2 linked regions of the Macaca mulatta genome follow. The protein of the gene in region 2 interacts with the protein of the main gene of each other region in a pairwise test. Links are inferred from orthologs where the notes say so. Each region holds a gene or a part of one and is shown on either strand. Other genes may lie near its edges.

Region 1 (4,508 bases), on a different chromosome or scaffold from region 2:
AATATACAAGGAACTTGAACAACTCAACAGCAAAGAAAACAACCCATCCCATTTAAAAAGCAGGCAAAGGAACTAAATAGACATTTCTCAAAAGAAGACATACAAAATGGTCAATGGGTATGTGAAAAAATGCTTGACATCACTTATCATTAGGGAAATGCAAATCAAAACCACAATGAGATATCATATCACCCCAGTTAGAATAGCTATTATCAAAAAGACAAAAAATAACAAATGCTAGCAAGAATTTGGAGTAAAGGGAATCTTACACACTGTTGGTGGGAATTTAAATTAGGACAGTCATTATGGAAAACAGTATGGAGGTTTCTCAAAAACTAAAAATGGCATTACCATTCGATCCAGCAATCCCACTACTAGGTATTTATCCAAAAAAGGGATAACTGTACCCCTATGTTTATTGCAGTACTATTCACAAAAGCCAAGATATGTAATCAACCAACATATCCATCAGCGGATGAATGGATAAAGACAATGTGATATATATACACGATAGAATACTATTCAGACACAAAAAGAATGGAATTCTGTCATTTGCAGCAATGTGGATGGAACTATAGGTCATTATGTTAAATGAAATAAGTCAGGCATAGAAAGACAATTATTGCATGTGCTTATGTGGAAGTTAAAAAAAAGTTGATCTCATGGAGGTAGAGAGTAGGATCATAGTTACCAGAGGCTGGGGAGTGGAGAAGGAAATGAAGAGAAGTTGGTTAATGGATACAAACATACAGTTAGATAGAAGGAATAAATTCTAGTGTTTGATAGCACAATGGGGTGACTATAGTTAACAATAATTTATTATATATTTCAAAATAGCTAGAAGAGAAGATCTGAACTGTCCTCAACACAAAGAAATGATAAATGTTTGAGATGACAGATATCCTAACTACCCTGACTTGATCATTTCACATTATATCCATATGTTCAACTATCACGTGTACCTCATATAAATATGTACAATTATGTAAAACTAAAAAGCAGTAGAATGGACAAATGTGGTATATTCACACAATGGAATTGACACAACAGTGAAAAGATAAACAACTGCACTCCACAACATAAATTTCATAAACATCTTCGGTCAGAGAAACCATGCACTAAAGCACACAGAGCCCATGACGCCATTTATATAGGGTCACCCATGCATCCTGGTTTACATTCCCAGTTTTGGCACCAAAAGTCCCACATCCCAGGAAACACCCCAATCCTGGACAAACTGCGATAGTTGGTCACCCTATATTCGTAAAAAGTTTAAAAACAGGTAAAAGGTGTCTATGCTATTAGAAGTCAGGAGATTGCCTACTTGGGTTTGGAGGTATTGATTGGATTGGGGGCCCAGGGTTCTGGGGCGCTGAGAATGTTTTGTTTCTGGATCTGGGTGGGGGCTACACAGTTACATTGTTTGTGGCTACCTATCAAGCTGGACACTTTGATCTGGGCAGTTTTTCTGTTTTACTTCAGTGAGGAAAAATGTTAACACTATTGAGAGGCAGGATAGTGTAGTGGTTAAACATGCATGCCCTCAAGTCAGTTACCCAGGCTTAAAATCCCAGTTCTGACAACAGCTGTTAACCAAACTTGCCTTAGCTTCCTGAGCCAGGGCTGGGGACACCACATGTCTAGATTTCTTTATTGCGGCACTAGCTGGTGTGTGCAAGGGGTAGAGACCAAAAAGCGTGGCACCAGCAGAGAAGGGACGTCAGCAGCGCAGAAAGGTAAGAGGGTAGTATTGGGCCATGAGGACCCCCACACCCCCAATTCTAGGGTCCTGGCACCTCCCCAATCCCCCTTCCTCCCCAGAGGTCCAGAATTTTCAGCCTCAGTCCTGAGATTTGTGTCCACAAAACTAAATATTTCTAACTGATGAAAGCCACTCCTTGCTGCGAAGAAACCAGAAGGCAACCTGGATAGTCTGATCAAAGTTCTCTAGCCTCCATAAGTTTACTCCTCTGTACTGTGGAAAGGACAGAAGAAAATGGCAGTGAGTAATCACGGTGAGTTCACTGAGCACTATGTGCCAGTCTTTTGCTAAGAATGTGATGCGCTCAAGCCTTATGATACTCTGAAGTGGGTACTATGCCTCTCCCCATTTTACAGATTCAGAGACTGAGGCACAGAGAGGTTAGGTAGCCTGCCCAGTGTCACACAGCTCTGGAGCAAGAGCCTGCTCCAGAGCCTGAAACTCCTACACCACATCCCACCCAAGTGTGGGCTTCACACATAATAGGCGCCCAGCACCCAGTAGCTCGGCCTTGCTGCCGCTGTGGAATTTCCTGCCCCCCATAGCCCCAACCTCAGCCCTGGACTCACAATGGCCACTCCTTGCACCAGGGGGAACTGGTTGGGTGCCTGCAGGACATCACAGATGGTGTTCACCATGTCGTCGATCAGTGTCTGACACTCTTCGTAGGGCTTCAGGTATTCCTGGATAAACCCACCCAGCTTCTGAGCAGGCACCGAGGACAGCTGGGACCCCCCATTTCCCATTGCTCTCAGCTGGCTGCCGGCAAGACAATGAATGGCAGAATGGGAGGCAGAGGAATTCTCGCTGCTGCCCAGAGACAGGAAACAGAAACTGAAGTCTAGAGGCCTCTCTCCACCCGCTGCAGCGAGCTACCAACTCCTGCATCCGGGGCAGGGAAACGAAAACTAACTTAAGCTCAGAGGCTCTGCCCTGCCCCTGCAGTGAGCTACCACCTCCTGCATCCGGGGCAGGGAAACGAAAACTAACTTAAGCTCAGAGGCCCTGCCCTGCCCCCTGCAGCGAGTTTACCAACTCCTGCGTCCGGAGCAGGGAAACCAAAACTAACTTAAGCTCAGAGGCTTTCGCCTTCCCCTTGCAGCAAGGTTTACCGACTCCTGCACCCCAGCAGGGAAACCAAAACTGACTCAAGCTCAGACGCTTTCCCTGTGCCCTGCAGCATGGTGAACAGCCCTTCAGGGGCTCCCCAAAACTTGAGGTTAACCAAACAGCCTCTAGAACCCCATTATGAGGGCTTCATACCTGCTAGACATCTGTTCTTGGGAACATCACCTGCCCTCTTTGCGCCTCAATTTCCCCATCTGTAAGCTGGGGAAAGTGGCAGCTCTTTCATAGGATTAGCTTGATGATTAAATAATACCTGCAAAGTGCTTAGAAGCAGGGGGCACAGGTCATCTTTTGAGGCTCTGTCCCTTTCGCCCTGTTCTCAGTGACCGGGGAACTCAGATTCAGGGAGAGGAGCAGAGGAGAAAGAGACTCAGAGAGGAAACTGACTTGCTCAGGGACACAGCAAAGCAGGGACCTAACTGGACTCAGGTTTTGGTCTGCTTCTGTGTAAACACAGGCCCCGGAGTGGTCAGCGGGTGGGAGCCTCTGTGTGTCCAGTTTCTCAGCACACTTGTGGACAGCCGTGGGACCATATGAGGCACTTGCCCAGCCCCTCAAGGGCAAGAAAACACGCCCCAAGTGCGTGAGCCAGAAAGGAGAGAGACATGCAACTCCTGTGCCCAGAGCTTTGAAAACAAAACTCGCAGAGAACTCCCAGACAGCTGCCTTGGCCCAGAAAGAATAATTCACAGAGAAGGCAAACATCAAGATGTCAGGTGGGGGACCGGGGCTCTTCCATGCTGGGATGGTTAATTTTATGTGTCAAGTTGGCTGAACCCAGGTACCCAGATATTTGGTCAAACATTATCCTAGATCTTATTGTGAAGGTGTTTTTTAAGATGAGGTTAGCATTTACATTGGTAGACTTTTTTTCTGAGTAAAGCGGATTATCATCTGTAAGGTGGTGGGCCTCATTCCATCAGTTGAAGGCCTCAATAGAATAAAGACTGAGCTCGCTCAAGGAAGAGGGAATTCTGCTGCAGGCTGCCTTGGCCTCCACTTGCAGCAGGAACTCCTTCCTGGGTCTCCCACCTGCCAGTCTACCCTGCCGATTTTGGATTTGCCAGCCTCCACATTCACATGAGCCAATTCCTTAAAATAAATATCTCAAAATAAAGATACATACCCTGTTGGTTCTGGAAAACCTCAATTAATGCTCATGCTCATTAAGGGCCTTCCCTGCCCTTATCCAACTTCTACTGCAACACCGAGAGGTAGGCAGGCTGGGCAGGCGTAGTCTTAAAGCTCCTTTCTCAAATGAGAACATGGAGGCTCAGAGAGGTGGAAACATCTGCTCAGCAAGTTGTCAGGCTAGGTTCTAACACTAACACACTGCCTGACCCCAAAGCCTGTGCTTTATTTGTTACTTTAAAAAACACTTTATTTTGAAGTAATTTGAAACGCTGAGAAAATTTACAAGATGCACACAAAGAACTTCCTTAGACTTTTTACCCATCATATTTTTACCACATTTGCCCCTCATTTTCTTGCTATTTATACATTTTAGGAGGCTTTTGTTTTGTTTTGTTTTTGAGACAGAGTCTTGCTCTGTCGCCCAGGCTGGAGTGCAGTGGCGTGATTATAGCTCACTGCAGCCTTACCCTCCCAAGCTCAAGCA
Region 2 (2,916 bases):
CAGGTCACCTCCTGCCCATCCTCCATCCTCGACGGCCTAGCATAAGACTCCTCTGAGTGTTCTAGCTCCCCTGACTTGTGCACTCCCTTTAGCATCTACATCCTTAAGACTCTGAATCTCACATGATGACTAATGGGAGGAGGAAGACACCTGTCTTCTCATCCAGGTGGGGCTTCCCACCCCAGTGGCCTGCAGCCTATCACAGTAGCAGTGCTCAGGGTAGGGGAGCGATGTGGGGTGGCTGTACCTGGAAGAGTGTGAAGCCCCGGTAGTACTCAAAGAGAATGCAGCCAATGCTCCAGACGTCACAGGGCTGTGCCCAGCCCAGCTCTGAAAGCCAAGATGGGGAGAGGCTGTGAGATCTGGCCCTATGCTTCCAGCCTGGAGGTCACAGGGCAGCCACCACACTGGCTGGCAGGACTCTTGCCCAAATCCCATTACAAGGCCCTCTCAGTAAGGCTGACAGATAAAACCAGGTCAGTCACCTGTGTCTCATGACACTGGCCTCTTGGTCTGAGAAACTCTGCCTGCCCTGGGTGGCAGAGACTGCCAGGCATGCCACTGCCTCTGTTTATACCCTCCCAACAGTCCAGTGTGACGAGGTCACAGGCCATACAGTCACTCACCAAGGATCACCTCAGGTGGGCGATAGTGACGGGTGGCCACAATGGTTGTGTGATGCTCATGGTCAAAGGTGGCACTGCCAAAGTCAGCCACTCGGATGCTGGTGTTCTTCACTGACTTCTCCTCACAGCTCTGAAAAGCAAGGCAGGCCTGCCAGGTCAGGAGTCCACACCAGTGGGTAACCCACCCCTGGAGCAGGGCCTCACCCTTACCCCCACCAATACCTTGTGTTCATTGTAGAGGGTTTCAAACTCAGAATTCACAAACAGGATGTTCTCTGGCTTCAAGTCTGTATGGGTCAGCTGATTCTCATGCAGAACTAAGGGAGCAGGGAAAGAAGGGGAAGTAGGCAAATGAGAAGCTGGCTCTCCTGCCAGCGCTAGGCCAGACCCCTCCTCCAATGCCAGCAACTGCCAGAGCTCCTCACACCCCCACCTCAGCAGGGAGCTGGACTGCAGCCTGCCTCTGTGCTGGCCTCTCTCTCAAGAGTCTGTACTTGAGGCCTTGGAGGGTTCTGATACTTTAGCAGGGGGGTGGGAAAGAAATTTGCCATTTGAAAAACCTCCCTCCACCTCTCCTCTGCAGAGACCAGGCCTCCTCACCTGTCTCTCACCAAAGCTACAGCAACAGCCTTGAGTTGGTTCCCTCTTCCCCGCACCAGCTACATAATTTGCAGGGCCCTTTGCAAAATGAAAATGCAGGTCCCCTGTTCAAGTTACTAAGAATCAAGCACAGGGTCCTGTGTGACTGAGTGCATAGGTTGCATACCCAGGAAGCCAGCCCCGCCTCTCATCGCTAGTCATGAGCAGGGAAGCCTTTCCCGTCCAGCCCCTTCTGACAGTGGCTTCCTGCTTGTAGTCACTTTTCAGCTCAAGGCTCCCATCTGGCACTCAAGACCCTCACAACTGTGTGGCCCACGACTCCCCAATGATAGCCTATTCCACTGGAGCCAATTCTCAGCCCGTAACAGGCTCCAGGCCTCACCAAGCTGTTCCCCTTGCTTGGAAACCTTGTCCCTGTCCCATCTTGCAAATTCTGTGGGAGGAGGAAGACACCCGTCTTCTCATCCATGTGGGGCTTCCCACCCCAGTGGCCTGCAGCCTATCACGAAGTAGCAGTGCTCAGGGTAGGGGAGCGATGCAGGGTTACCTTGAGCTATTCTATATTCTAGCTCAAGGTCTACCAACTTCACCAAGGAGCCTTTCTGTACTGCTGCAACCACTGCAAATCCTACAGTGCTGAGCCCTGGCACCACCAAATGCTTTTCAAGGCTGGCAGGGAGATGACAAGTCAGGGTTGCACAGAGGGTCTCCATGTGGGCAGGACCTGTGGCCCTGTCAGGTCAGGCTTCTACCTTTTTACCCCATGCATGAAGCAGGGAGGTGGGGTTGGTGGTTAGGCCAATTCTGGAGCAGTTCTTTTCTGTTTTCTTCCTGAGTGCCTGGGGGTAGAGAGGCTGGTCCGGCGGTCCCTGGAGGGAGCCCTAACCTTTCCATCCTCACACTGAGATTCCCACCTGAAGACAGGCCTTTCCGCCAAAGGGGATCTGGTGTCCCTCAGGCCCAGAAGAATGGTTAGTAACGTGCTGGAATGAATGGGGACAAGTAACCAGATGACTTGGCTGTAGGCATGTGGCTGCCCATGCTTCTTTTGAGGGTGGACACTTACATCTAAGGGCGTGGCAGAGCTGGTAGGCCATGTGCCGGACATGTGGTAGGGGGTAAGGCTGGAAGTTATTCTCCTTCAGGAACTCAAAGGTGTTCTTGCCCAGGAGCTCAAAGGCGATGCACATGTGACCATGGAAGTTGAACCAGTCAGACATCAAGACGCACAGGCTGGAGGAGGAGGATAGGCAGGGCTCAGGCTGTGTGCTGGGGGCCTGCCTCACCCCCTCTCTCAGATGAAGACAGTTCCCAACTCTCTCCTAGGCCACCGGGTCACACACCAGAACGCAGATACACACAATGCAAGAGAACCACAGCAAGAGCACTTCTCCCCACCAGCCATCATCCAATCCCCAGATGAGCTCTGGGCAAGGATTAAGCTTCCTGCAGTGGGTAGGGGAGATGTCCAGAGTTCTGGTACAAGCCCTCCAAGCTTCCCTACTTATGATGTGGGAGAAGCCCTGCCTCAGAGTTGCTGAGGGAGACATGGAAAGTGCTAGTGCACTCTGCAGGACTGGTGCTGCTTTTCTCGACCTGCCCACTCTGCTGAGCTTCGTGAGGGTGTGCTGGATTCACCCATCTGCCCAGGCTCAGCACAATGTGTGAAGGAGAGTGCTCAGTGTGTTTG

What was found.
Region 1: the proteins of CLK3 (region 2) and OAS2 interact in binary tests that used the Homo sapiens proteins (3 or more experiments, as listed by UniProt). The two-hybrid records come from large-scale screens. The link is inferred for Macaca mulatta from reciprocal best matches to the Homo sapiens genes CLK3 and OAS2.

What each region holds. Positions count from the first base shown.
Region 1 is NC_133416.1:120,223,629-120,228,136, reverse strand, and holds the start of OAS2 (2'-5'-oligoadenylate synthase 2), read right to left. Parts: upstream 2,809-4,508; 5' UTR 2,509-2,808; coding exon 2,332-2,508; intron 1-2,331.
Region 2 is NC_133412.1:52,562,558-52,565,473, reverse strand, and holds part of CLK3 (dual specificity protein kinase CLK3), read right to left. Parts: intron 2,460-2,916; coding exon 2,293-2,459; intron 944-2,292; coding exon 849-943; intron 757-848; coding exon 627-756; intron 331-626; coding exon 248-330; intron 1-247. UniProt on the Homo sapiens protein: Dual specificity kinase acting on both serine/threonine and tyrosine-containing substrates. Phosphorylates serine- and arginine-rich (SR) proteins of the spliceosomal complex.